Caenorhabditis elegans: one gene and its partners. The protein of the gene in region 1 interacts with the protein of each later gene in a pairwise test. Each region holds a gene or a part of one and is shown in the gene's direction. Other genes may lie near its edges.

Region 1 (5,875 bases):
GCTCACATTTTGAAAAAGACTTTCTCACCTATTGCAAGTGACCCGAAAGATTTTGTAAAACCAGTGTCTTTTAGCACATTGAAAACGGCAAAGGCGTTTTTTGAGATGTAAACGTTCTGAAAATACTTCAGTTTCACAATTTTACTTTTTAAATATATCTGTTAACAAAGTACTCACTGGTTTACTCCAAAAATCGCAACAGGAATAAATTATCCCAAGTACTGAAAATGAAAACATCAAGTATTTATATCTACCGAATGTTTTCTTTGGCATCATGCTTATCAACAATAAAAGTACTGAATTCAAAGATATTGAAAGAGAAAATCCAATTGTTTCAGCATACGATGTCAACTCGATCCAAGAAGTAGAACACATTTCTGCTTTTTAGCAAAAAAATGAAGAATTTTTGAATTTTTCGATCTCGTCAAAATGTTGATGTAACTGGATGGCTTTCGTAGAAATTACAGAGAACAATTTTTAACATACAGTTTGTATACTTTTTCTGAATGCTGGAAATTGTGATTTTCAGGAATGTATAATATTTTTGGATAGTCGAGACATTTTTGGATAGTCCAGTCAACAAGAACGCGAATACAATCCGAGATACGAGTAAAAATAGGAGAAAACGGGGTTTTTATATCTCAAAAATGAATTTATTATGAGAATTCAATGCAAAAGAGACAAAAAAGCAAAGGACATCTAGAGACGAGTCAACACGAATTTAGAAATGTAATTTAGCAGGTAGACGAGGATAAAACCAAAAAACGTATTCGGGAAAAACCCAGGCTCTATGCAGAAATATGCATGAGGCAGATAAGGTGGTCCTCCCCACATCACGCAAAATACTAACTAATACAAAAACAGAATCGTAGTGTCTGTGGTAGGCGTGTCTTATTAGCTTCCTTGTCAAGACACAACATGATGTACCGGAAATTTGACAATCGTATGTGATGGTTATTCCAAAAAACAATTGTATAGGCGTAGACAGGGCAGTTGTGTTCTGTTATTAGTTATCATACGATTATTGTCACGTCAGCCCCATGGTAGCCAAAATGAAAAAAAAAAAAAAAACTTGGTGACCAATGGGCTTTAAATGCACCTTACTCGACAGAATCACGTGAGATAAACGACCAAGATTATTCTCGGTCAAAGGGAAAGAGAACACATAAGTCCCATCCTTCCGAAGAAGTTCAACGTGTATATTCTTTCCTGATGCACAGGACAATAACTTTTCAGGATGAAGAAACAAGTCTAAATTTTTTAAAACCTAGCAATAATTTTTATGGAAGAAAATAAAAACACGTATTTAACTGATGTTCTACCCACTTTTTGTTTTACCATAGTTGTTGTAATATTTTTCACAAACTGTATTACTTTCAAATTGTTTATAAAATCACCAAATTATGGAGCACGACTTATAGAAAACTTACGGCTATGAAATTTTTTTTCTTCTCAACCGAATTATCCATTGTATTATTTGTACGATTTTTCTTCCATAAAGCAGAAAACACACCAAACGGCGATTTCTTTCTGCTACCTACAGTTACTCAATAAAACTAATTTTGTTCGTGAAGAACATGCGTATGAGTTTTTGAAATTGATGTTTCTATCTAACTTTTCATTTAGAGTAAGAAAATGTTCACAAAATTTTTTACGTTGAGAAATTTATATTTCCTTTTTACATGACACTTTTTCCATTAACACCATTAAGAAATTGTATAATGACAACTGGAATTGCTCTAGAAATTTCACAAAACATTTTAAAAGTACTGAAAGTTATTTTTCATCGAAAAGCATTTGAATTTAATGAAATTTTTCAAAGGCATTAACTTTTAATGTTCATTTTCCAGTGTCACCATTTGTATTAAAAACCGTCCGCATTCATGTTTATCACCCCTGGGCAGGATCCTTCCTAGGACACGGTAGTACATAAACTAGATGGTTTGGCTTAAGATACCCAGTCCGAAAACCTATATTGACTGCTATCTCGAAAACAAGCCGCAAATTTTATTTTGCGATGCATATGAAAAATGACCACAGGACAATTCTCCATCTTTTCTATTAAGAAATTTTTGAGTTGAAAATTTCCTAACCGGTGAAATTTGTGTTCGTACGGTAGATCGCGTTGGCACTGATTTAGTTGTTGTACCACCGTGAGGAAACAAAAACCTTCGCAACCGCGCTCTATTGACACGGGAGAGTGCGACTCATTCAGCATCAGATTGCCTAAAACGTTTTTTAATTGTTTTTATCACGGTTTTTACGCTTAAAATATGTTTTGTCCGTAGAAAAACATAACTATTTTCAGTAAAATCTAATAAAAATTATTTTTAACTGAATTTCAAAAATCATCTCAAATTGCGAAATATAAAAAAAAACGACTGTTTGTTAACCGATATCGAGCAGGAAAGTTAAGTCGGCCAATTTTCTGACCCCTTTTAACAAATTGCGGTCTGCCAATAAAAATATTTAGCATTTTCATAGCAATTCATTTTTTTTCAGAATAAAAAATTCGTGGTACTTTTTCATTATAAAATTTGGTATTTTCTGGCAATTTTGAGTTTTTTTTAAACTTAAATTTAAAAATAAAGTAACTAGACTCTGATCCACATTTAATTCAATGTATTCCACTGAAAATTGTCTTTTTTTCGTTCACAATTTCATACATACATTACTCAACAATTCGTCACACTTTCTCACTTCTCTCTATCTCTCCTCCCATCTTTAAATTCCTCAGCCTCTTATTCTCAAGTTGTGTACACTGTTCCTATCAACACAAATTTCGACATTTAAACGTAGCAAGGCAACGTTTTCCAGCTTATAAACCAACCGAGGTATCAGACATTTGCTCACTTTTCTGTTCTTATCAATTTGAAAATGAGTACATTCTTTTTTAGTTAAATTTCCAATAGCACACCGTATTTCCTCTAATTGTATTCCACCCCAAAGTTCAACTTTGTCAGCTTATATCTCAGTCATTGTTTGTCCTATTTAAACATTGTCAACTGACAAAATATTTGTTAGTTTTTTTTCCATCATTTCGTAATTAATGATAAACTCATATCTTCAAAATGAACCGAGATATAACGTTTCAAAGTTAAATAGTCAGGTGCAATACTAATAGAGGAAATACGGTAATTGTCAAATTCAGTATTTTCTTGGTTAAAACTTGAGAGGTTTTATAATCAAAATGCGTACCAAAATATTTTCGTTCAATTTTTTCAATTTAAAATTAAAAAAAAATAAATCTTTGATCTTTTGAACACACTTTACTAAAAAATATATCGCATGACGTTGGACACTGCAATTTGTTTCGAAATGTGTACACACACCCCATTCTCTCCCTTCTTCAAATATAGATAAGGGAACCGATGGTTTTCATATTTCACATAAAATACTCAGCAATTTTCGTCTCTTTTCTGCTGAAAGTAACTTTCGAATTTTTTTTTCTTCTTGAGTTGACTCTTCGACTCTTGACTGTATTTCAAATTTTCCAGATTACACAAAGAAATCGAATATTTAAAAAATGTCAGACGCCGACAGCCAGAAACAAATCAAGCTCACCTCTTCTGATGATAAAACTTTCACGGTATTTTTTAAATTATAATTTCCTTTAACTAAATAATAAAATGTAAGTTTATAGGTCTCACGAAAAGTGATCAGTCAATCCAAGACCATCACAGATATTATCCAAAACCTTGGAATTGAAGAATCTGGATCCACTTCTGAAGACACGATTCCACTTCAGAAAGTGACTTCTACTATCCTTGAGAAGATTATCACCTGGTGCGAGCATCACGCCGACGATGAGCCAAAGAAAGTCGACGAAAACAAAAAGACGGTAGACATTAGTGAATGGGACGCCGAATTCATGAAAGTCGATCAGGGAACCTTGTTCGAAATTATCTTGGTAAATATTAAAGTTTTATAAGCTATTCTCCAGAATTGAACATTAAACCGATTTCTTTTTCAGGCCGCCAACTACCTCGACATCCGTGGGCTTTTGGACGTGACCACCCAGAATGTGGCTAACATGATGAAGGGTAAAACTCCAAGCCAAATCCGAACCCTCTTCAACATTGAGAACGATTTTTCCGAGGAGGAACGGGAGGCCATGAAGAAGGAAAACGCTTGGTGCGAGGATTAAGCTCCCTGGTAAACATAATTAACTTGAACTTTATCTGATTCGGTTTACATACCTCTTTTATGTCACTTAAAACAAAATCAAAAATTATTTTAAACAAAAAAAAACTTTGTCTGTCAAGTACGCTTTACATTGCTTCCAACAAAAAATATAATTTAAATAAATGTATAACGTCTGTATATTGTGTAGTTTGTTCATTGTGTATGAATTTACCATTTGCAAAAAAAAAAAACTTTGGCGGCCAAATTTGCAGCCAACTACTGTTTTGACTTGTAAAAAAACTGTTCAAAATCGTTGTAACGTTTTTGGAAGTATTTCAACTGATCGAGAAGAAAATTGTTTAAAAAATTTGGTTGCCTTGGGGGAATCTGGAGAAAAAATAGGAAAGAAATTTGGGTTTGAACATTGTTTTTGAGGAAACAGTTGCAAATTAAATGAAAATCTCTAAGCCAGGACCTATGCCAAGGCCTAAGCCTTAGCCTAAGCTTAACCGTAAGCCTAAGTCTAAGCTTAAGCTGAGCACTACTAGTGAGCAAAATGGGGGTAATGTGTGCATATAACAGCATCAGAAAAATAGTCAAAATTTAAAGAAAACTAATCACAATCTCACAAGCTTTAAGATCCAGGAGAGATTCAAGCTGTCTAGTAGAATAGGATTTAAGCTCGCCGAGGAGAAATAGAAGCCTTCCAGATTTGGACTTTGAAGACTCCAGGTGCAACTGATTGAGAAGGCCGATACAGATATCAAGTTGGCGATCGAATTTGAGATCAGTGCCATCTTTGGCTGAAATTTTAGTTTCTGAAAGCTCAGCAGCTTTTCTAGTTAAACTTACTTTCCGTGAAAATAATAATTCCCTTCAAGAGGAAATAATCCTGCGCCGAAAGTTCGAGGGATTTGAATTTCTCAGCCAGTTGTGCAAATTTTTCATCGATGAAGATTTTTTCGGAGTTTTCGAACAACGCGAGGCACAAAAGATGTGGCCACTGGGTCAGTATGATCTGGCTCTGGAAATTTTTTTAATGACTTTTATGTTTGGCATTTAGACCTTTTCAACATCGGAAAGCACTGCGAAGAGCGAAAACTGTTGCACCCACTGGAGTGCGTTTTTCAGATGAACTAGCACGGAGCTTGTGTCCTGAAATTAAATTTGTGGTGTCTCAGGTTGATAGTTTGTCTCCTGATTAACTAACAATTTCATGTTGAGCATGTTCGTGTTGGAATCTGAGACGATCAGAGTGAGTAGGCAGAAGTCCCTTGGAATACTCTCGGAATGAGGGCAACTCGACATACTCTACAGTGTAGCTATGGGAAGTTCTCTCGGGTTGCACAGCTGGAAAATAATTATTTAGAGACGAAACTGTGTCGCCTTCGCCGGCTTCAGGAGGCTTCTGCCGGCCTCAGGCCTTTGTTAATATGGTGCGGCGCGAAACTCAAAAAAATGTCGGCCACTGAAAAATACCTACCGCACTATATGGTGCAAACACAAAGTTAATGATCTGAAGCCCAAACTCAGAGAAGCAGCTTACCATTCTTATTCATCCCCTTCTTGAAGCACTTTTTAATTCGACAGGACTTGCACCTGTTCCGGTTCGCTTTATCAATCACACAGTTTCCGTCTCCATTCCAACATCCATGTACCAACTTGTTTCTAACGGTTCTTCTGAAGAACCCACTGCATCCGAAACAGGTTGGCACACCTAAAATTCATTGTTATCTAGTTTCTAAATCTT
Region 2 (7,415 bases), on another chromosome or scaffold:
CTCCAGTCCCGGCTCTTCCAACAAGCTTCAGCTTCCCAGCTGATGCAGCCAACAGCTCGGCGGTGATCTTCGTGGCGCTGCGAACAATGACGGCGTCGTGCTGTGGCAAGGTGACGAGAAGCTCGTCCTTCGTCTGCTTCGTCTTCACGGTCACCTCGATTCCGTTCTGCTTCAGAATGTCGACACACTCCTGCTCGATGTCGTCGGCGATGAGGACTTTGTTGATTGGGGCGCTCATTCTGGAAATTGGGAGTATAGTTTTGGAATAGTAATTTGAAAAGAGAATATACAGTTTTAAACTAAAAAAAAATAAAAGAAAAATCTTTAAAAAACGCAAAATAATTGTTCTTATATACCCTCTAATGTCACGCAAAGTGACGTAATCTCAGACGCTACCCCGCCCCTTTCCAGGTCAATTATAGATTGTAAAAGTCACGTAGACAATGACTATATTCATCGATCTTGCCGAGATAAGGTGAAAACAAAGATTTACAGCGTCGATATAAATATATCGATTATGGTATTAGGAAGAGTCACCACAAAAAGACTGCATGAACAACACGATATTTATGGGCTGATGCTGCTGATGGTGGAGGCTAGATAGCAAGTTTTGACTGGCCGGGGGTGGAGGAGGAAAAAACGAAGAACAGGAAACGTCGTTGAGGTCAAAATGGCGGTTATCAGTTATGGTCAGTCGACGTCAGAGAACACACACACAATGGGGTAGATGGGAGTAAAGTATCTAGATGGGGAAAGTTTGAAAAACGGGAAAAAATGTTGTATTTTTGGCATTTTGTCGACTTGGCAGGAATTTAAGTTCATGTAAAACTGGCAAATTGTCAATATTGAAATTTTTGCCGAATTTGCAAACTACAAAAAAAATATAGAAAATTCATGCCAAATTGGGAAAAATGAAAATTATTGCCAAAAAAAGGAAATTCTTGCCAATTTACCAAAATGAAAATTCTTGCCAAACTGACAAATTGCCAAAAAAGGAAATTTTTTCCAAATTGGCAAATTGGCAAAAAATGTTAAATTCTCGCCAAATTGGCAAATTGCCAAAAAAAAGGAAATTCTTGCCAATTTGCCAAAAAAGGAAATTCTCGCCAAATTGGCAAATTGCAAAAAAATTTTAAATTCTCGCCAAATTGGCAAATTGCCAAAAAAAAGGAAATTCTTGCCAATTTGCCAAAAAAGGAAATTCTCGCCAAATTGGCAAATTGCAAAAAAAATTTAAATTCTCGCCAAATTGGCAAATTGCCAAAAAATTTGCCAATTTGGCAAGAGTTTTATATTTTGATCATATTACCAAATTGGCAAAAAATGTAGTTTTTGGCAAATTGGCAATAATTTCCTTTTTGGCATAGTGCCAATTTGGCAATTAGGTAAGCTTTTTTTTGCAATCTGCAAATTTGTCAAGAATTTTAATTTTCGCCATTTTGCCGGATTGGCGGAAATGTAATTTTTGGCAAGAATTTCTTTTTTCTGGCAAATTGGCAATTATTCATTATTTGAAATTGCCAATTTGGCTAGGATTTTCATTTTTTGGCAATCTGCCAATTTGGTGGAATCTAGAATTTTTGCCATATTACCAAATTGACGGACTTTCCATTTTTGGCATTGTGCCAAGTTGATAAGAATTTCCTTTTTTTTGCACTTTGCCAATTAGGCAAGAATTTGAATTTTTGGCAATTCGCCAATTTGGCGAGAATTTTAATTTTTGGCCATCTGCCAATTTGGCATGAGGTATAAATTTTGACAAGTTGCCAATTTGGGATAAGTTTTATTTTGGGAGTTGGGCAATTAGAGGAGAATTTCAATTTTTGGCAATTTTCTAATTTGGCAAAAAATTTTCAACAGCGTTTTATGGGCAAAAACAATTAAAACTGAATTTTTAGAAAGTTAAAATAATTCCAACAACAATAATTCTTGTTAATTAAATTTTTCGGTTGTGACAACGTCATCACAAAACATTCTAAACCAATTTAAAGATATTGAGTCCTAAGAAGCTAAAACTTCAAAAATAAATTATATTTTCAGCATAGTTACACCGAAAACACACCGAAAAGAAGAGAGAAAATGCGTTTATGGTCAGCGAGCGGCAAGAGACAAAAAACGAACGTAGAAGGAGAAGATGGGCAACACACAAAAATGTGACACATTTAGAGAGAGAGAGAGAGATAGAGAGAAAAACAAAAGACGCGAGCGGAATACACAAAAATGGGTGCAAAACGGGTGTATGAATAAATAATGGGCAAATATTGGAACAAAACGGAGGGTTTTGTCGGGAATAAAAGGAATATTTCAATAGCTCATAGTTAAAAATTTCAAGATTTTCACAAAAATGAATGTCAAACTTTAAAATTAGTATGGGACTTATTACTGTTGTGATTTTTGATGAGATGAGTTCAATTCTACCAAAAGGACACAATTTTCATTTTTGGTTTTCAGTACAGATAAATTATTATTTTTGAAACATTTCACTAAATCCGGGCCTTCATATTTCACTCAAAATTAACATTTTTCAGAATGTTTTTACAGAAACTTGTTTCAAATTTTGAGCTCTTTTTTAATTATATAACGAAATTCAGCTTTTTTTTGTTGCTATAATGCTATTTTTCTAGGTAGGGCACTTTTTTGCTCAATATGATTATAACCAATGTGCAAGAATTTCCAAAAATATTTAAAATGGTAGCATTTTGAAAAAAAATACTTTTTTGGGGCTTTTGAAATGTATATCGTAGAAACAGAGACGGTCATACATTTGTCTAAAAGATGAAAAAATCTGCTATTTTTTTAGGTAAGACACTTTTTTGCTACATGATAATAACCAATGTGCAAGAATTTCCAAAAATATTAAAAATGGTAGCATTTTGAAAAAAATACTTTTTTGGGTTTTTTGAAATGAATATCGTAGCTACAGAGACGGCCATACATTTTTCTAAAAGAACAAAAAATCTGCTATTTTTTTTAGGTAGGACACTTTTTTGCTAGATGAACATAACTACTATAAAATTTTTTTAATGGTGGTAGCATTTTGTTGCTCTTATGGTGCAAAACGACCAAACATTTAATTTTTTTAAAGTTTGTCCCCAATTTAATGAAAAGAATACGGTATTCTACCGGTCGATGCGACTCTTATCATTCTACTTCCAATTTCTCACTTGTTCTGTGCTGCTGTCTCTCCCCTCTCATATTTTTCATCTCTCTTGTCTATTTCTCTTTTCCATCTCCACTGCTTCCCCTCTTTCCATTTTCCCGCATTTTCATTGATTTTCCGTCCAATTCTAGAGTTTTTAAAGTTAAAAAGGTCCAGTAAAATGCCTGCCATCCTGGAAACCAACCCAATTGCTATTCGAGCTTGCATTCTCTACGAGGTCCGCCAAAAGCGGCCAATTTTCGAGTCTTTCAAGAATTTTTGCAATGCGTTTGGAAATGATTTTATGGAATATCGAGAATTTGAGCGCTGGTTTTATCGATTTTATCATGGAAACGAGGATTTGGATTATGATATGAGGTAAGTGTAAAGATAAGTTCTAAAATGTAATTTATTAGAAAGAAATTCAGCCGGGAACCAAAAACAGCATCGCTATCCGAGTTGCCAATTGAAATATTGTTCAAAATTGTGGAAAACTTGAATTTTCTGGACAGGTTAGTTTTAAAAAATGTTTTTCTTTGAAAATGTATGTTTTTTGGACGTGGGGATTTTTAAAAAAATATTCTTAAAATTAAGCAAAAAATATATGCATGATCAGAAGTGGGCGGCAATTACCGTTCGGCAATTTTTTTTTGTCGACAAATTTGGCAAATCGGCAAATTTCCGGTATGCCGATTTGTTACCAGAAATTTTCAATTCCGGCATCTTGCCGATTTTTCAGAAATTTTCAATTCCGGCAACTTGCCGATTTGCCGGAAATTCTCAATTCCGGCAATTTGTCGATTTGCCGGAAATTTTTAATTCCGCCAACTTGCCGATTTGCCGGAAATTTTCAATTCCGGCAACTTGCCGATTTGCCAGAAATTTTCATTTTCGGCAACTTGCCGATTTGCCAGAAATTTTCATTTTCGGCAACTTGCCGATTTGCCAGAAATTTTCAATTCCAGCAACTTGCCGATTTGCCGGAAATTCTGAATTCCGCCAACTTGCCGATTTGCCGGAAATTCTCAATTCCGACAATTTGTCGATTTGCCGGAAATTTTTAATTCCGGCATATATGAAAACTTTAAAATTAACAAAAAAATAAAAAGTTTTACTATGAAACTTATAAAGTAATTTCAATACTAGTATCTGAAAATTTAAATTAGGTCTTCCATAAGGTCAGGCAGGCAGGCGTTAAAACTCCTGCCGGCCTGACCTTAAGGTGACCCACGCCTGCCTCTCGCCTCAAAACGCGCCTTATGCTTCATTTCATAATTGGAAAATGGACAAATTAATAGAAATGACAAAATTTGAAGTTTGAAGATTCACATAAAATGTAGAAAATTTTCAGACAGGCGTGAGGCCCTGAAGCCGGGCCTGCCTTGAAAGCCCTACTTTAAATATTTCAAATAACACTTCCAAAAATTCAAAATTCCAGACTTCTCCTCCGCAACGTCTCGCCATGCTTCCGCAGCATCGCCGAGGATCACGTCAACGAGGTCACCAACATCTCAGTGACTTCTATTCCAAACCACGTACATGTATGCTTCTATCATGAAAGTGACTATACAGATATTATATGTAAACGTGTGGATGATGATTGTGTAATTACTAAAATGTCGCAATACGAGGATTCAAAGGATTGGAAAATTGAAGGAGTTTCTCATGTGACTGTTGCATTGAACTATCTGTCTAGGGTATTGAAGAGCCCGAAGTTGAAGCTGGAAAAGTTAAGACTGGACTTTTTGGAGCATAATAAAGAGGATACCCAGTGTATGGAAGAATTATTAACTGTGCTTGAAAATTCCGAACCCCATGTTCTGAACATTGAATTCGAAGGACTAAACTTCCACGAAACATCTAGTGTTCTCAAAAACCTGAAAAATGTTGAAGAGATACAACTATCAATGTACAGTATACAAGAGTTGTCTGGAATTGAGAAGCTCGTTGAGCTGGAGCAATGGAAGACAGCAAAGACACTTGATATATCGAGTCATGAAGACATTGAGATGGATATTAAAGATTTGCTGCACTTTCAATCAATTGATGTTCGTCTGAAATCGTTTTCAGTTCAGGATGCGGTTAAGGTTAAGGAGGTGAAATACTGGAAAATGTTTGACCCTAAATTAAATTTTATTCTGATTTTCAGACCCTCGAACTCCGCACCTCTGACTTCAGATCAGGAACGTTCAGAGTCCTTAACACAGATACTCGAAAAATCGGAAAAGTATTCAACCCAAAATATACAGACGCTGCTAACAACACATTCAACTTCAAGACTAAAAATTCCTCATTTGAAATAACTATGTGTTCCAAGGAAATTTATGTTAAACGGAAGCTATAAAAGGAGTCTAGCAGTCATAATTCCACGCTTATTTATATATCTTGTTGCCATAAATTGAGTTTAGATACTTTTCAGAAATAAAGTTTTATTAATGAAATATAATACTGTGCGCCCAACTTCCCCCTTAATTTTTCCGTTTTACCACATTCTGAAATTTTTTTGAAAAAATGGCTAATGCCATTCGATTCCAAATGTCAAAAACCCCGTGTCCACAATTTTTATGAAAATACATGGGCAACTACAGAAATTAGATCAAAAAATCATTTAAAAAAAAACCATAAATGTAATTGCAAAAGAAGAGTGTTTCAGATTCAAAATTGTGATAATAACATTATTTATAAGCATTCTATTCATATTTGAATGTTTTTGAAAAAATTGAAAAATTGAAGAAAAGAGAAGTTCGTCTCGATATAGTGCTATTTTTAGGATGTTTGAAAGTCCGCTGTGAGCTTGCTTCTAGAGTATCGCCGCTAAAAATTATCGAATGACTAGGTCTCATATGCAAGCCCAATTGGCCCTTTCTGACGAGCCCCTTGTTAGTTGAGCTTTTATGTTAATATTTCGTTTATTCGCACGTTGTTGTTAAATGAGTTGTATGAGTTGTTAAAGTTAACGTAAAACAAGGTTTCTTCGCTGAAAAGTGGCTGGTTGTTAAATAAAGTAGGTTTAAATTACACAAAATTTACAGAATTGCTTTGCTCACGGAACAATCGCTTTACCGCGACTGTAATAAACAAGCTCTAAAAATATTCTCAATTTGTTTGCATTATCATGTGGACGGTAAATTCCGGTGTGAATATGTTGGAAATCTATCGTGCCACACAAAAAAGTCGGTACCCATGTTTTGATAAAACACAGTTGCAAGAAGGCCATCATTTCTTTCTATATCGTATCCATCACTACAATCAACGCGTTCAATTCCGTCGCTGAAAAAATTTAAATAAAGTTTGACAACAAAATCCAATACTGCGGAAAAAACAAAAAAAAATGCCTGTATCTCTAGTAATCACTTTGCGCGGAAATATTAAACTGAACTCAGTTTTCCCTACTAATTTGTAACTCAAACTCCAAGAACAACGACAAATTGTTCTTGGAGTTTGAGTTTACACGACAAAAATTTTTAAAATGGTTCCTACGACTTATTGTCTATGTTTTAAAGTAAAACACCAAATGTATGCTTGATTAGTTTTTTCAACTTCAATTTTGCTTCAGGCACTACTTATTAAAGTTATATGATCATTTTCAAATCGATATTTGCTCACTCTGAAAATATTAAAATTTTCAACAAGCCAAATTGACCGTTTTCGAAACTATCCAAAACATTTTTTTTTAAAGTCAAATTTTTGTCCCCACTTTGATTGGGAGAAAGAAAACAGTGGTTCTGCAACCTGTGACAGTAAAGAGGAAAAAAAAGAGAGAAACGAGTAAATGGTCCAATGTGCGTTATTGTAGCCTCATCACGAGGTCGCCTCTTCCCAATCGACTGTATTTTTACGAAAAGAGTTGTAAATGAGCTCTATCGCTGTTCCCATCACTTCCCAGAAGAGATTACTCCTGGGAAGTGGTACAGACATAAACATCATGGTACCTGGTACTAGATGCGCAAAGATACGCAAGGAGGGTTGGCAGGAGGTAAAAAAAACCCCAAAATTGTTTTCTCAGAAAATTCGAATTCCAGCCAAAATTGAATTCCAGCCAATAAATTTGAATTCCAGCCAATATCTCCCAGGAGAAATGTCTCCTGGGAGATAAGCGATGGGTGCGCGATTACTATCCATTTGGCAGAAAGACAGTGTCTCCCCCTTCTCAGCATATCTTCTATTTTCTTTCCCTCTCTGTGCCTAATCTTCTGGTTCAACATTTCTTATCGATTTTGTTTGATTTTTTTTTCGAATTGTGACCGAATTAACTTTTTTGTTTCTGATTATTCAT
Region 3 (7,725 bases), on another chromosome or scaffold:
AACGACGAGAAACACGTGGATGCACTCCGCGAATCTCTCGAATATGTCATTCAGAAGATGTTTGAAGGTGAAGTTTTCATTCAACTGAAAAAGATCAACCCGACCTGCCATCACGTAAGTTTTCAAATTGAACAGGCAGAATTTAAGTGCAATATTTCAGATCATCGGAAAGTCTATCGCTGGTGCATTCACCTCTATCAAGAAGAGCTTGGATATTGAAAATTAATATTTTTAGACAAAAAAATGCTCCCTCCACATTGTTATCTCATTTGTTGTTGTTGTTTTTTAATTGTTTTAATCAATTCCCTCTGTTCCCCTTGAAATGTTCTTCCAATTGTTGAATTTTAATGTTTTTTATTCAATTGAAATTGTTTTTTTTGAAGATTTAGTTCTTCCCAAATGACACAGCGAAGAAAACCTAAATGTTTCGAGGACTTTTGAAAATCCGTTTTTTCCTCCGATCAGTTTCCTCAATGATCAGCACACTGCGTCGCCACGATCTACACAGTCTCTAACTTTTGTTCTTTCTGCAAAAGTTACACTGATAAGAAACTCGTTGATGAAAGATAGTCTGTGTCTCATGCTCTCTCTTCAATGAGACGATTTTCGAAAGACACTTTCTCTGCGTCTCTTCGTCTTATATGATTTCTAGAAGCTAAATGTCTATCAAAGTCGTATCAGTTGTTTTCGGTCACTTTTTGAAAGTTTTTGAGAGACAGATCAAACGACGCAGAAGTTCTCTCAAAAGTTGGTGAAATAACGTGGAAGAATGAGAGAGTGGGAAAAGAAACAGGAATCATTGAACATTTCCGAGAAGATTACGGTAGAAGCTTCCGAACAAAGTTTGAATAAAGATGAATCTTTTTGATTGTCTTTTTTTAGCCATTAAAAAATGAATTATCCAGATTTTCCGACAAAAAACTTTTAAAAAATTGTTTTTTTAATTTTCAAAAATCGAGAGAAAAAAGTAAAAATTCACTAGGAGAACATTTGAAATTTCTTGTGGATATGGTAGTTACAATGTTTTGATCGTGTCGAGACCCAAGTCTTTTCTTAAAAATTGTTTTTACAAAAATCAACACTTCCAAATATATACATTTTTTGTCAAAATGTCCTTCACTTCCTTTTATAGTCAACATTCAGTTGCTGTCAACAACCACCTGAAAAAGTGCACCTAATAGTAAATGTGTACATTGAAGTCAAATATTTTGAAAACAATTTTTTTTTAAATCAGATTGATAAGAATCCGGAAAAGAACAGTTGTTACTATTTTAATCGACACTAAACTCCGCCCACAAACTACCGTATAACTCGTTGATCTTTTGAAAAAAAAATTCCATTGAGTGATGTTTGCTGTTATGGAGAATACCACAGTTCTGGTGAATTTCACAAGGAACGATTTAAAGGTGACTATTACATTTTTGAAGAACACGACGTGGGAAAACTGAACTTTGCTCATTGATAGAAAATGGAATTCGATCAGGTCGGTGTTTGCTTTGCGACCCCAGCTACCTTTTTCCATTAAACTCAAATTTGAATATATTCCGTACAAGCACTCTAATTGACCTACTCGTACCCCCGTTTGATGACGTAGACAGATCAAAATACGCACTGAATTTAGCGTCATTTGGTGCCGCGCGGACACCGCACGGAACATGAGACATAGAGATAAGAGACGGACTCTAATGATTTCTGATTGTTTCTAGTAAAATCTGATCATTGATGAGTACTTTTGATGAGTGAATGGCCTTTTAAGATTTCAGATTGATATATTGAAAGATATCTGAAAAATTAAGGTGTGGCTGAAAAAGTGCTAGAAATTGTTCTAGAAGCATGCTTTCTTCACATTTATTCCCGTCCGGCTCATCTCAAATATTTCATAACGGGTTTAAATCGTAATGGCAAATTATAAGAATCAAAGCGGGCGAACTGAAGGCGCAAAAAAAAAAACAAAAAAAAAAACAAAGTCAATCGTCACCAATTTATTATGGCCGGTGTTCTGTTTCATTTTAGAGAAAAAAAATAAAACAACACGATTGAACAATCAACAAACAAACAGATGATCAGTAGAACATCAGTTTAATATTACACGTACCAGCACCCTTGAAATCAGAAAAACAATACGCCATCATTGTTCACATAATTTCAGAACAGAAAGCTACACAAATCACAAAATATTTAAAAATTGAACAGTGGTTCGCACTCAAAATTGACTAGTGATCGGGAAGATGTAAATAAAACAAAGACAGAGTACAAAGTTTCAGAGAATTTTCAAAGATGACAAAACATTCAATGTTCTCGTGATTTTATTCTTAATTTCCAATTGTTTATTTCTAGATATTTCTTTTTTACAGAGCTTGAATCGAAGTCACCAAATATTGCTAAAAATTTTGGATGTAGAACTTTTGAAACTATCATTCTGAACGTCTTGGTAAATTGACAAAATTCAAAACTGCGATTAACTTGATGCATTGTTCCGTAATTTAGCACCCACAATAATCCAATATTACAATTTTTAACTCATAGAATTTTTTTTTGACAAGTTCCAAATACGCACATAAGCTATAAAATCTCTTTAATTTCTTTTTCATACGATATTTTCATTTTAGAAATTGTGCTATTCCACCTCCAATTCATAATTTTTACGAGGTCATTGTATCCTTTAACACTTTTAAAGAGTAAAAAACGTTCAGCAAACTCATGAAAACAGAAATTCTCTAAATTTCCCAAAAAGTCAATTTTTCGAACATTTGGCAATTTGCCAAAACTTTGTCTGAAAGATTTCAAAAAATCTAGGATATTTCAGAATATAATAATTTGAATAATTTTTAGTATATTTTGACAAAATTCCTACTAGCGCTACTCCAAATACTGTATTTCTTTCGAAATTTAAGACTATTTCCAAAGAATAGTTTGCAGTAAAGAACACAATTTACTTCTATAAATAGAATTATCTAACCGTAGACTAGTTCCTTTCTTTTCAGTTAATCATTCCATCTTCAAAAGTCATTTTCCTCGTTCTCCGTTTCGTTGTAGTCCCCAGTCTCTATGTCACAGATCTGTCCATGTGAATTGCACATGAAGTGGGTGGAGTCAGATGTCTCATTTTCTCTGCGTCTCAACCGCTCCGCCTTCAACATTTTCCTCCATCATTTCGTCTTCATTCTCTTTTCTCTCCACTGATCATTAGCACTTTTCCTCTTCTCTCTCTCTTTCTTCTGATTGAAATTTCAACTGTTGAAATTTTGATTTTTTTTTCTTCGTTTTGAAACCTGTTTTTAAGATCTAAATTTTGTGTTTTTCCAGCAAAATTCTTGCGCCGTTAACACAATGGAGTTGCAAAGAAAGCGCAGTTTTAACACATCTACAGTATCCCATGACTTTAGAAAAGAGTTCAAGGGCTCCTTGTAGGTTAAGCTTCAATTGCCTAACTAACTTGAATATTCAATTTTTCAGTTTGGAAACCAAATACCGTAAAGTGAAGAAAGACGGAAAGAAGAACGGACTCAAGTCGATTGCTGAATGGCTATTCACAAAGACATCTGCCAAGAAAAATGGAGCACCAGTGACGTCATCAGCTGAGAAAGTTTGTGCGAATATGGTGACAGTTAAAGAGAAGCCAACGTATTTTGATGTGAGTTTTTCGGGTAAAAAACAATTTTATCAGAAAAAAATAGTATTTAGTCAAGAAAGTATATGAACGTTCGTATTTTCGACAGTTGATATATTTGCATAAATAGGAATTTCAAAATTTTTGAGCCGTAGGTTCAAAGGGACGTACCATATCAAAATTTAAGTTAAGTTAAATAAATGAAACTGCAAAAATATGTTTTGTTCTATGCCACCATCAACATGAATTATAACCAGTATGTTCAATGAACAGACTCAAACGTTTTTTCGTTTCCTGTTCAGGAAATTTTGATCAAAAACAAGACACCGGGCATCCCCCGGGAACAGCTGTCCCTCTGGAAGTCTTATGATTTCTCTCCACAGATATGTGTTAAACCAAACTTCACGTGAAGTACATGAAGAAACCTAGTGACGTAAAACATAGTAGATGTTAGACAAAACGTACTTTTTTAAATGATAAGGTGATTGGGATCAATCACATGATTTCTTTTTGTAGTTCTCAAATTTAGTGGTCTCTGTTTTTAGTTTTTATAGTCTTATTTTCAGCGCATCCCAAATGAAATTCTATTTGAAATTTTGGAAAACTGCAAATCCACGGAGCCATCCACTGTTCTCGCTGCGCGAAGATTATCCCGACGATTTAATGCATGTATGGATCATATTGCTGATGTTAAAATTAATGTGGTAAGTTACTTTTCTTTTAAATTTAATTCCTTCTAATTTTAAAATTTCAGCTCTCCCGCCTTGTGATTTCTGGACTCGGAAAGAAGGGGATTGAAATGCGATGGGTTAGCTATGAAGGTCAGAAGACAAAAACTACAGTAGTCCCATGGAGTACGGTTAGATCACCGAGAAGTTCGTTTGAGTTCAACTTTAGACGATTTGCAATTCAAAGAATTCTGTTAAAGGTAGGTTTACAAGGTTGAACTATAGAAAAATCAATGAAATATTTAATTTCAGAATGTTCCACTTTCGGATGATTTGATCGAATTTCTGCGTCGCCAATTTCAGTATGCAGATCTCACAAAACTGATTCAACTTTCCCTATCTCAAGTTGATTTCTCATTATCCAACTGCCTCTCCCTTCATCGATTCCTTGCCCCTGTCGCAAAAACACTTGAAATCTTCGAAATCACTCAATGTACTGGAATGCGAGCAGATTCGGTAACTGACGAGCATTTGGCTCAACTGGATGCTCCAACGGTTCGTAGAATTTGCATTGATGGAGTACGATTCGCGTCGAATGCCACACGTAATCTGGATATTGGAGACGGAGCATTGAGACATTTTGCAAGACTTGGAGCATTTCCAACAATGATTCTGGATCGATGTGCAGTTACAACTAATACAGTATGTGATTACACAAAAGAATGGTTCGAGCAGTGTAATGAATCGGAAAAGCAGTTGAGAAGTCAAGTATGCACAGTCAAGAGGTGTCCAAAAGTTAAAGGTGAGTAAAAACCACGAGCTTTAAAATTATTATTAACCTAAAAGTAAAATTGTTGAAACCAAACTACATTTTTTGAAAAGTCAGGTCGACTTTTGTCAGAACGTATTCCAGACGCGAAATTGTCCGATTTTTTGCCAAGAATACGGTACCAGGTCTCGGCACGGCAAATTTTTGGAATCTTCAAAAAGGTGCGCGCCTATAAAGACTACTGTATCGTCAAGCTTTCATTTCTGCGGAATCGTCACAACGATTTGAAATTACAGTACTCCTTTAAAGGCGCACACACCTGTCGCATTCAACCAAAATTGTCGTGTCGAGGCCGGTTACCGTATTTTGAAGCAAAAATCACAGCTTTAATACATAATCAATAAACTATAATATATTCCAGGATCTCAATTTGAATCCGAATGCCTTCGACGTGGACTTCGATGCAAAAATCGCCGTGGCTCGGGCTCATTGACATTGTATAATGTGCAGGAGGAAAATACAAAACGCGAATTTACAATTGCTCTGGCAGCTCTTGAAGACAAAGAATTGGCTGAAAAACTGAAAATCTCCGAACAAAATTGCAATAATAACAATCTTCTGACTGTTCCACCTTCCTTCCAACTTTAATCAATTCATAGAATTTATTTTCCAATTGATCCCCCCTTATCTCTCGATTTCCCAAACATTTTGGGTTTTAGAAATTGTCTTTATAAGACCACAACTTCAAAATGACGTGTGCCTACTTGTATTTGTACTTGTATATTTTCTTGTTTCGGGTTTCTATTTTTCTAAATTTTCGAATTTCTGATGAAGATTTCATCGTTTCATAATAATTCTTTAACATGGAAACAACAGAAGGGGAACATATAAAATTAGAACGGGGATATTCTTTGAGAATAAATTAAAGCATTTGAACCATCTACGTTAAAACGAATAAACACAACAAAAAAATGATAAAATAAATGAAACATGATTAAATGAATATTCACATGAATGGAATATTATGGATGCTTCTTTTTCGAACGGCGTTTCTTCTTGTCTTCCTGAAAAATTATGGAATTTTATTAAATTTTAGCTGATATAATTTTGAGACTTAATTAAAATTGTAAAATTAGCACACTTATCACTCTAACGTGACCGATAATCATAATGAAACACTACAAAATTCTTAGATTTCTCAAATTTCAAGTCAAAGTTTTTTTTTGTAAATTGCAACCTTTTCAAAAATGTGAAATTTTTGGGTGATTTAGGGATTTTTGGCGAATTTTTTTGATTTATCAGATTCGAGAAAAAAATTTAACGCAATTGAGATATAAGAAAATGAAGAAAATGTCTGAAATTCTGGCCGACTTCTAAAATTATGATATGTGAAACAAAAAATGTTCTCTGTAATTTTTCGGTATCAATAAATTATACTTTATGTTTCAAGTAAGAGCCAAAATCTTTCCAGTCGACTTCTGCCACGTCAGTGCATTCCCATTCATCATTCGATTTTTCGATTTCAACCATAACAGGGCGGAACACATAGTTTTGTCTGAAAAAATGCAACGGAATTTAAAAAATTATAAATTGAAAGTTAAAACGCCGCAAAAATCTCACCGTTCCTGGGGGTCTTTGAATCGGAACCAATTGTCAAATCCTTCATATCCTAACAAATCGAGTAATTTCTTCATATTTTTTGTAGTCACATTGATAAACATTTGACCGGAGAAGTCCATAACTCGCACCTGAAGTTTTTTTGTAACGATACTTCCCAAAAACTAAAATTCAAAAAATTATCTAAATTCAGCTAAAATCTCAAACTTTGTCAACTTGACAATGTCACAACTCGCAGAAGTGAGTTCCGACCGCCGCACCACTGACAAGTCGGAAAAATTTGAGATTTTAGCTGAAAATAGGCTATTTATCCAAAACATTAAAAATGTTCTATATTAGGAAATAGGCAATATAAATATAAAGAACATACTCTAGAATACATCGACAATTCAGATTTTCCTTGGGAATCCTTACAAAACTCGCATTGATTCGCTGCTTCTGGGAGAGAGTGTTTGCATTTCGAACATCTGAAACCAATATTATTATATTAATTATCAAGGAATCAGTATGTACCCTGCATAAAAATCCAAATTTAAATCGAGTAAGTTAACTTGGACAACTGTTTTTTTGATTTTCGTGTCTGACAATTCGTGGATAACTGAAATAATAATTTTTTTAGGTGAAAACTCGAAATGGCTCACATCTGGGTTTGATGCAAAACGGCTTCTTGGCAATTGAATGGCGTCGGATACCGGATTTCGCACCATTTTCCTTATTTTTCAGAACTCTATCAATATAGATTTCTGTAACATCGCCTGAGCTTGCTGAAAGTTTACGAAAAATTAAATCAATAGCTACAATCGATTGAGCATTACATTTTTTACAGACTTCCGCGTCGACATGAATTCTGTCGCCAAATTTAATATCAGAGCCACGATTGTAGCTACAAGTGGCCAGGATTAGAGGAGTTGAGCTGGATTCTTGAAGAATAATTCGGAATTTATCCTTTTCGTAGATTCGAGAAACACGCAAAACATCGGCGTGGATTTCTGAAAAAAGACTCCGGATTACGAGAATTACGGAATAAAGAACAGTTTTCAAAAAGGAGAGCCAATTCTAGA
Region 4 (9,014 bases), on another chromosome or scaffold:
CGAGGAGTTCCACGGAATAGTTGCTCGCCGGATCGAGCTCTGCGGAGTGCGGTCTCTCCGTTCTCTCGTTTGGCGGTGAATTGACGGACCATTCCTGAACGAAGTTTGGTGTGATTTTTGAATCAAAAATACGGTGCCGGGTCTCGACACGACAAACATGTGTGTTGAATGCGACGTGCACCTTTAAAGATTACTGTACATTTCAGTTTTTCATGATTCAGAGGATGGATCTGGAAAGTGTTTTTTTTTCGAGAAAAAACGCAACATAAGGAAAACAGTTAAAAAAAATTACAGTACTCATTTAAAGGCGCACACCTTCTCGCATCAAACAAAATATTGTCGTGTCGAGTAACGGGATCGTCAAAATTCGTAAAAATTTACCATAATCAATAAGATAGACGTTTTTGGCGTCACTCCCATGAACCCCGGTCACACAATTTCCCGGCTTAATATCCCGATGAGTGAATCCCACTTCATGAATCTGTTTGATAGCAAACAACGTTGCCATCGCGAGACGAAGAGTCGTCTGCTCACAGAATCTCGGAGTATTAGCATCCCGTTTATGAGCCATCAGATCCTTGCCAAGAAGAGTCATCACCATGAAACAATACGATTTTCGATCGCCAGCATCCATCAATCTTGCACAAAACGGCAGTGGAGCCAGTGATTTGAGCACGTGAGCCTCCAGCTTCAGAACCCCGCCGTCACTCACGTCTCCCTCGACTTTCATTGCGGCGTATGTCTGAAAGCGGGTCAGATCTCGTACTTTGAACACCGCACCCATACCGCCTTCGCCGAGTTTTTCAACGATTTTCCAACGCTTTGCGATTATCTGAAATTGAGGGAAATTGTGAATTTCCGGCTGAAAATGCTCAGAGAAACTCACTTTTCCTTCTGTGATCGCTTGAATTTCTTCCATACTGATTCTGACCACGAAATCGATTGAAACTGTGTAGCTAATAGAGAAATGTAGCTTTTCGAAATATTGAAATAAATTTAATTATTTATTCAATCCTTTTATGTATTGGTTTTTTGTTATTCACATTTTAAAATATTTTTTATTTTTCACGGCCGTTGTTCACCGATCATATGATTACGGTGAAAATTCTAAAACTATTTATTTCCTATTTTATACCAAATAGTTGCAACATATTCTGATAAATCATGTAAGTCTTGTAAGAATACAAAATGTTCTTAGATTTAATTAATGTTGTTTTTTCTTGTTATTCCAGGTACAGTATCTTTTTAAAGGCGCACGAACTAATAAGTTTACCGAGTCCCGCCAAGAACTGTTTCGAGTTTTACAGCGATTTTTGTTCATTTTTTTTCAGTTTTTGTCTATTTATTTGTGAAAGAATAATTTCTCCTCTTTTCCGCAATAGAAATATAAAAAATGATTACAGTTTTATGGGCTCCTGTTTAAAAAACCTAGTTCTACAGTACTTCGATTATTACTTCCACTAATTAAAATTTCCTTTGGGCATCGCCAGGATCGATGTACAGTTAAAAATCTGTTTTCCACCTGTTGTTTTATCGAATTCTTTTTTTACTTTTTTTTCTGCATAAAATGCATGTTTTCTCCAGTTTTTCTCGAATGAAAACGCGTTTTTCAACTTTAAACTATTAAAAATTCGCTTTCGTGTATTTTGCACATCGAAACACCTAAAAAACAAACTTTGCTATTGTTAAAACCTTAGAAAACTCCGCCCGTTCATTGCACAGCCGCTAATCATTCCCTCCTGTGACCTTTCTTTTCCAGATCATCCCGCCATCTCAGCTGTCTTTTGTGCACTAACAGAACCATTGTACTCACCAGAATTTCTTTAAGAATCGATGAAGACACAAGATGAGGCGTCTCTAGCTTGTGTCGCGCAGTCTCCGTCTCCAAGGGTGTTTAGCTCACTGAAATGGGCTCTGAAAAATCAACTGAAATTCGCTTTTTTTCTGTTCTTGGAAATTCCTGAGTCCCGGGGAAAATGAAATAGTCTAAAATTATTATTATTTAGGTGTCTTTCATCTGAAAATTTTCCAAAATTCACAGAGTTTTTGAAAATCTCCTGTTAAGAACAATTTAATTTATTTCCCCAGTATCACTTGAAAAGCTAGAATTATCGCTGGAACAATTTCCTTATGTATTTATTTAATTTCCCCTTTTCCCAGGCTAGCAAATTAGAAAATCTCCTATTTTCCCTCCAATTCCCAGTTAAATTTATCGATTTGCGGTGAGAATCGCGTCCGAGGGCAATCGATTTACTGTCTTCCCGCGATTTTCAGCGCGTCTTCTTAATTTCCAGTCGGAGGCTCACTATCGAGTCATTTCTAACGTCTGCTGGCTCACAAGTATCCCCATTCAGTGATGGCTCTGGATTTTCGTCTTTTTTTTCTATTCTTCCAGGATATCTATATTTCTCCCCCAATTTTGCTCCAGTTTTCCAATTTTTTTGAAAACATCTATTTTTCCGGGATCTCATAAATTTTCTCAATTTCAAGCCCATTATTTCCACCTTCGGTGACTTTTTCCCAACACATGATGATTTTGGATTGGAGCGCGTTTGCGTTTGGGCCCTTGTTTCCTCGTTCCTCTGTTTCTTGCGAAATTGACAAATCCCTTGATTTTAATCGACAATTATTTTTTAAAAATGTGTTTTTCAGTATGACAAATAGCGAACCGAGAAGAATGACGTGTGATTCCGAGGTGGTTTGGAAGAAATTACAAGATGGACTTGATGTAGCGTATCGCAGAGAAAATATGGCGCCAAAAGACTATATGACTCTTTACACGTAAGATTTCCCCCCGAAATTCCACAGAAACTCAATAAAATCTTTAATTTTCAGAAGCGTCTATGACTACTGCACATCGATAACATTGTCCACAAGCCGCCGAGACGGCGAAGACGGTCGAGCAGAATCTTCAACTCCAGCACGAACCGCTGGCGCGGATTTTGTCGGTCACGAGATGTACCAGCGTGTTGAGGAATATGTAAAAGCGTACGTAATCGCTGTTTGTGAAAAGGGCGCCGAGTTGTCGGGCGAGGATCTTCTGAAATACTACACAACTGAATGGGAGAACTTCCGAATCTCGTCGAAGGTGATGGATGGTATTTTTGCCTACCTCAATCGTCATTGGATCAGACGTGAGCTCGACGAGGGCCATGAGAACATTTACATGGTTTATACACTTGCGTTGGTCGTCTGGAAGCGTAACTTGTTCAATGATCTTAAGGATAAGGTGATTGATGCGATGCTCGAGCTGATTCGTTCCGAGAGAACCGGATCCATGATCAACAGCCGATACATTTCTGGAGTTGTCGAGTGTCTTGTGGAGTTGGGTGTTGACGATTCGGAGACCGATGCGAAGAAGGACGCGGAGACCAAGAAGCTGGCCGTTTACAAGGAATTCTTCGAAGTCAAGTTTTTGGAGGCGACCCGCGGATTTTATACCCAAGAGGCGGCAAATTTCCTGAGCAACGGAGGAAATGTGACAGATTACATGATTAAAGTGGAGACAAGACTTAATCAAGAGGATGATCGCTGTCAACTCTACCTGAATTCTTCCACAAAAACTCCACTTGCAACTTGCTGTGAATCTGTGCTCATCTCTAATCAGCTTGACTTCCTCCAGAGACACTTCGGTGGTCTTCTTGTCGATAAACGAGACGATGACCTTTCCAGAATGTTCAAGCTTTGCGATAGAGTGCCGAATGGACTCGACGAGCTCAGAAAATCCCTGGAGAATCACATCGCAAAGGAGGGTCACCAGGCGTTGGAAAGAGTTGCTATGGAGGCGGCAACCGACGCGAAACTCTACGTGAAGACGCTTCTGGAGGTTCATGAACGTTATCAAAGCCTTGTCAATCGATCATTCAAAAATGAGCCAGGATTCATGCAATCACTCGATAAGGCGGCGACTTCTTTTATCAATAATAATGCCGTCACTAAACGTGCCCCGCCACAGGCTCAGTTGACAAAGTCCGCGGAGCTTCTTGCCAGATATTGTGATCAACTGCTCAGAAAAAGCTCGAAGATGCCCGATGAGGCGGAGCTCGAGGAGTTGCAGACGAAGATTGTAGGTTTTTCTCGCTTTTTTTTTTCTCAAAATGGCGTAATTTCCAGCTAAAATTTGAAATTTAACCAACTTTTTGCATATTTTGGTTGTTTATTTCGTTGATTGAGGAACATTTTCGATCGATGAGTGCACACTGCGAAACTGATAAGTTGGCTAAATTTGAGATTTTCGCTGAAAAAAAAAAACAGATTCCTCTCCTTTTTTTCATATCGTTTTTCATACCGATTTTTTCATATCGATTCATATCGAGGCTTCTCAAAATTTCGAAAAATACGGCAATTTTCCCAACTTTTCAATTATTTACCTTTTTCTGACGTTTAAATGTGGCTATAAATCGACCTAAATCAACGAAAAACGCCAGTAATCAATTAAAAATCAATTTCCGACATACGGGAAAATTTGAGGTTTTATCTAAAATTGCCATATTAAAGGATTAAAAGATTTAAAATATTTCAAACCTCCATAGAAATGAAAACCCAATTTCTAAAAAGTTAGCTCAAAATTCTAAAATTTCTATTCCAGATGGTTGTGTTCAAGTACATTGACGATAAGGATGTATTCTCCAAATTCTACACGAAAATGTTCAGCAAACGACTTATCAGTGAACTCTCAGCAAGTGATGAAGCCGAGGCTAACTTTATCACGAAGCTCAAGAGTATGTGCGGGTACGAGTATACCGCCCGTCTCTCGAAAATGGTCAACGATACTCAAGTCAGCAAGGATTTAACCGCGGATTTCAAGGAAAAGAAAGCGGATATGCTCGGCCAGAAATCCGTTGAATTCAATGTTCTCGTGCTCAGTTCGGGCTCATGGCCGACTTTCCCAACGACACCAATAACTCTTCCACAGCAGCTGTCGAAGACTATTGAGATCTTTGGACAATTCTACAATGAGAAGTTCAATGGACGTCGGCTCACGTGGGTTTACTCGCAGAGTCGTGGAGAGATCACTTCTACAGCTTTTCCCAAGAAATATGTGTTTACTGTAAGTTTAAACGTGGAATTTCTATCTAAAAATATTTTTTAAAAATCCGGAAGAAAATGCCTGAAAAAAGTCCAAAATTTTACTATCTGCCACCCAGCTAAAATTTGAATTTTCACTTGGATTTTATCGAATAACAGCTAAAAACCTAAAATTTTCCAGGCCACAACTGCTCAAATGTGCACAATGCTTTTGTTCAACGAACAGGACTCGTACACTGTCGAACAAATCGCCGCTGCCACAAAAATGGACGAAAAGTCAGCACCAGCCATTGTCGGCTCTCTCATCAAAAATCTTGTGCTCAAAGCGGACACAGAACTCCAAAAAGAGGATGAAGTACCGATGACGGCGACCGTAAGCCTCAACAAAGCCTACATGAACAAGAAAGTTCGTGTCGATTTGTCAAAATTCACGATGAAGCAGGACGCCGTGCGTGATACGGAAAATGTGCAGAAAAATGTTGAGGAGGATCGGAAGAGCGTGATTAGTGTAAGTTTTTGATGAGAAATCGGCGGTTTTGGAGAGAAAAATTCAATAATTTCAGGCTTGCATCGTAAGAATCATGAAAACTCGCAAACGTGTACAGCATCAGCAGCTTATGACAGAGGTTCGTTTGGAAATTTCAAATTTTCGAAAAAAATCGATAAAATCTACGTGGAAATTTAATTTTAATGAACTTTCGAAAAAAATCTGATTATGGAAAAACGAGTTTTTCATAATTTGTTGATAAAATCTACGTGGAAATTCAAATTTTCTATACATTTTCGTAAAAAAAACGCGTCGAAATTCGAATTTCTTATGAAATTTCGATAAAATTCTCTTGGAAATTCAATTTTCAAAAAAAAAGTTCACCTGAAATTGGTAGAAACTCTGTAAAAATTGAAAAAAAAATCTTCAAAATTTTCGAGCTTTCGTAGTGCATTTTCAACACAAAATTCTGAAGAAATAAATTAAAACCCCTAAAATAAAAGATGATATCCACGTGGAAAATCAAGTTTTCCATGAAATTTGAAAAAAAAAAATCACCGGAAAAATCGAATTTTCTTTGAAATTTTAAAAAACTCCACTTGGAAATTCAAAGAAAAAACATCTAAAACCCTCTAAATATGATATTTTTGCAGGTGATCACACAACTTTCCGGTCGATTCAAGCCAAAGGTTGAAATGATCAAGAGATGCATTGGATCACTCATCGAAAAGGAATATATGCTCCGTACAGAAGGACAAAAAGATCTCTATGAGTACCTCGCCTAATTCATTTCATTTTAAATATTCTATTTTCTCTTTTAAAAACTATTTTTCCCCTTTACTTTTTTCGCCCAGTTTTATTCTCCACCCTCTTCTTCCCTTCATATCCGTGTTTTTGAAAACTTCAACACCATCTGTATTCTATTACTTATTCTCCTCTCCAAGTCCCTCCTTATTCGATTGTTCTTCTTTACAGAAGCGGGTCCTGGCTTCATTTTGCGCTCTCTGGTAAATGGTCCTGGGTTTTGTAAATCGTTTGTGTGTAGAATATTCGAAAAACCGTATACTCGGTAAACCTTTTTGATTTTTTTTCGTCTTTTTTCGGAAAAATTAAAAAAAAATTCAACTTCCAAGTGAATTTTTCAGTTTTTTCAAGGCCAAATGCAAAAAGGTGAGTAGTCACTTGAACCACAGACAACAAAAAAATCGATGACGAATTATTACAACAAGACAATTTGGATGAGACACTACTGCTGCTCTGACCCCTCCGTCTGTTCACCAGATGCACTTTTTCCCACTGCTCTGAGTCTTCACACTAATGCTTTGCTCAGTCTTCTCTGTTTATAGACTACTATTTGAAGGCTAACTTTCCACGTTGCGTTGACCGGGAAATTTGAATTTTCAGTTGTTTTTTATTACACAGTCGCGAAATTTTCCGTACCCGGTCTCGACGTGACAAATTTTTGCTAAATGTGAAAAGGTGTGCGCCTTTAAAGAGTACTGTAATTTCAAATTTTCGTTTTTGTGTAATTTTCTTCGATTTTTTTAAAAAGTTTTACTTTAAACATTTGTTTATTTCAAAAATATAACAGTAAACGTACATAAATTTCAGCAAAAATTGTGAGAAAAACTTTGAAATATCGATTAAAATTTCGCTGAAACGAAAGTTTGATATTACAGTACTCTTTAAAGGCACACATCCTTTTGCGTTTAACGAAAATTGTCGTTTCAAGACCGGGATATCTTATTTTTTGGCGTAAAAATCGCAATTAGAAATTCCAATCTTCACTGTATAATGGAAACTTTAAAAAATTCTACTATTCTAATATTTTTTAGAACTTTTTTGAAAAAAATCGATAAAAAGTTTCCAGAATCCCTTCACAAAATATATGACCGAATTTCTACACTGCTTATTACTCTTCCACGTGTTTCTGAGCTCGTGGGCTCTATTTCCGGGAGCTGAGCCAGATGAGGGAGACGTTCGGCACATTTATCCGCCGGTGTATATAGGGGTTGGGCTCGGTGAGCACGCCCACGCAATTCCATACTTTTTGGGTTGGCTGGAGAATTTGGATTATCCAAAGGATAGGATTAAAGTGGAAATTTTCATTTTAAGCAAGGAAGATGCGACGATTCATCAGGTTAAATGGTTGGTTTAAAGGCGCATAACTTGCAAACCACAGGAACATGGATTAAGCTTAGTCTTAGGTTTAGGCGTAGGCGTAGGCTTAGGCTCAGGCTTTGGCTTAGGCTTAGGCTTATGCCCATGCGTAGGCTTAGGCGCAGGTTTAGGCTTGGCGTCAGTGGCGAGCGTTAGCTGACGCTATTTAGGCTTGGGTTTATAGCGTTTTTTCATTTTTCAAAGGGTTCCCGTTGGCCGATCAAAGCGAAATTTAACAGAGAGTCGTATAGGCCACCAAGAAGCTTAAGTCTGAAGTTTCAAATTGATTCCATCAATTAGGCTTAGGCTTGGGCTTGGGCTTTGGCTTAGGCTTAGGCTTATGCTTATTCGTAGGCTTAGGCTTAGGTATAGACATAGACTTAGGCTTAGCCTTAGGCTTAAGATTCGGCTTAGGCTTACGCTTAAGCTTAGGCTTAGTCTTAGGATTTTGCTTAGGGTTAGGCTTAGGCTAAGGTTTAGGCTTAGGCATAAGATCAGGCTTAGGCTCAGGCGTACGCTTAGGCTTAGGTTTACGCTTAGGCTCCTTAACTTCGTGCTCCTGCAACTTTTTGAAAAAACTGCTGAAAAAAAATGGCAACGAACAAATTGTAGCATGGAAAATATTTTGTCAGATAATTTTCCAAAAAACGTAGTTTTCAGGTGGCTAGACTCTACAAAACAATACTTCAAATCTGTCAAAATAATCGAAGAATCAGAAAATTGGCTGGAAAGCGGATTGAGGAATGCGAGACTTCAAAAAGTTGAACGTTGTCTTCTTATTTCAGGAGATACAGTTCCAACTGAGATGAATTTGATTCAGGTGAGAAATAGGTAACAAATTAGATTTGCGCGTCAAATATGGTGCATCGTTTGACGGAATTTGCTAAGAAAAACTCAAGTGATGGTGCATTGAAGATGGCTTCAGCACATATTTTAGTTGTGGACTAAATGCACCATATTTGACGCATCTCCAACAATTTTCAAAGTCTAAATTATAGTTAGTCTGTATACATATATCTAGTTTTGACAAGTCTAAATTAAAAATTGGAAAGTTTCAGATTTAAAAAAAATCGAATATATATTTTTTTAAATCCAGTTCCAAAAGTTTCAGTTTCTATTCAACGAAAAAACCCACGTGGCAGTATCCCCACTTTTCCAATCAATAGATGGATCCTCCAACATCGATGAACCTTCTGAAACCCTCATAAATCAAAATAATGTTCGCGAAGAAATTCTGTCATTTTCACTTCCATTGGCAATTGATTTGACAACTATTGATTCATCTTATCTAACATTTGATAAGGATAATCTTCCAAATTATGAAGGTGCCGATGATCCG

What was found.
Region 2: the proteins of skr-3 (region 1) and fbxa-167 interact in a two-hybrid assay, tested with the Caenorhabditis elegans proteins (one study listed by BioGRID).
Region 3: the proteins of skr-3 (region 1) and T07E3.4 interact in a two-hybrid assay, tested with the Caenorhabditis elegans proteins (one study listed by BioGRID).
Region 4: the proteins of skr-3 (region 1) and cul-1 interact in a two-hybrid assay, tested with the Caenorhabditis elegans proteins (2 studies listed by BioGRID).

Annotation. Positions count from the first base shown.
Region 1 is NC_003283.11:16,118,327-16,124,201, forward strand, and holds skr-3 (Skp1-related protein), read left to right. Parts: upstream 1-3,497; 5' UTR 3,498-3,526; coding exon 3,527-3,589; intron 3,590-3,643; coding exon 3,644-3,910; intron 3,911-3,973; coding exon 3,974-4,147; 3' UTR 4,148-4,322; downstream 4,323-5,875. Other genes in the region: str-103 (Serpentine receptor class r-10), read right to left, coding at 29-116, 178-375; Nuclear hormone receptor family member nhr-111, read right to left, coding at 4,729-4,928, 4,978-5,149, 5,191-5,280, 5,336-5,475, 5,672-5,842.
Region 2 is NC_003280.10:13,638,242-13,645,656, forward strand, and holds fbxa-167 (F-box domain-containing protein), read left to right. Parts: upstream 1-3,247; 5' UTR 3,248-3,320; coding exon 3,321-3,517; intron 3,518-3,567; coding exon 3,568-3,651; intron 3,652-4,577; coding exon 4,578-5,235; intron 5,236-5,288; coding exon 5,289-5,483; 3' UTR 5,484-5,582; downstream 5,583-7,415. Other genes in the region: phdh-1 (D-3-phosphoglycerate dehydrogenase), read right to left, coding at 1-238.
Region 3 is NC_003281.10:6,894,710-6,902,434, forward strand, and holds T07E3.4 (F-box domain-containing protein), read left to right. Parts: upstream 1-3,306; 5' UTR 3,307-3,330; coding exon 3,331-3,407; exon of another isoform or gene 3,408-3,456; coding exon 3,457-3,634; intron 3,635-4,176; coding exon 4,177-4,314; intron 4,315-4,364; coding exon 4,365-4,538; intron 4,539-4,590; coding exon 4,591-5,080; intron 5,081-5,468; coding exon 5,469-5,695; 3' UTR 5,696-5,896; downstream 5,897-7,725. Other genes in the region: K04C2.2 (DNA polymerase V), read left to right, coding at 1-114, 161-226; DNA repair protein brc-2, read right to left, coding at 6,070-6,111, 6,485-6,602, 6,668-6,795, 7,035-7,131, 7,178-7,262, 7,306-7,428, 7,480-7,653.
Region 4 is NC_003281.10:10,468,585-10,477,598, forward strand, and holds cul-1 (Cullin-1), read left to right. Parts: upstream 1-2,652; 5' UTR 2,653-2,653; coding exon 2,654-2,781; intron 2,782-2,835; coding exon 2,836-4,066; intron 4,067-4,588; coding exon 4,589-5,050; intron 5,051-5,209; coding exon 5,210-5,536; intron 5,537-5,591; coding exon 5,592-5,654; intron 5,655-6,168; coding exon 6,169-6,300; 3' UTR 6,301-6,545; downstream 6,546-9,014. Other genes in the region: D2045.5 (non-specific serine/threonine protein kinase), read right to left, coding at 1-94, 382-832, 887-919; D2045.9 (Glycosyltransferase 25 family member), read left to right, coding at 7,404-7,663, 8,336-8,495, 8,787-9,014. UniProt on the Caenorhabditis elegans protein: Probable core component of multiple cullin-RING-based SCF (SKP1-CUL1-F-box) E3 ubiquitin-protein ligase complexes which mediate the ubiquitination and subsequent proteasomal degradation of target proteins.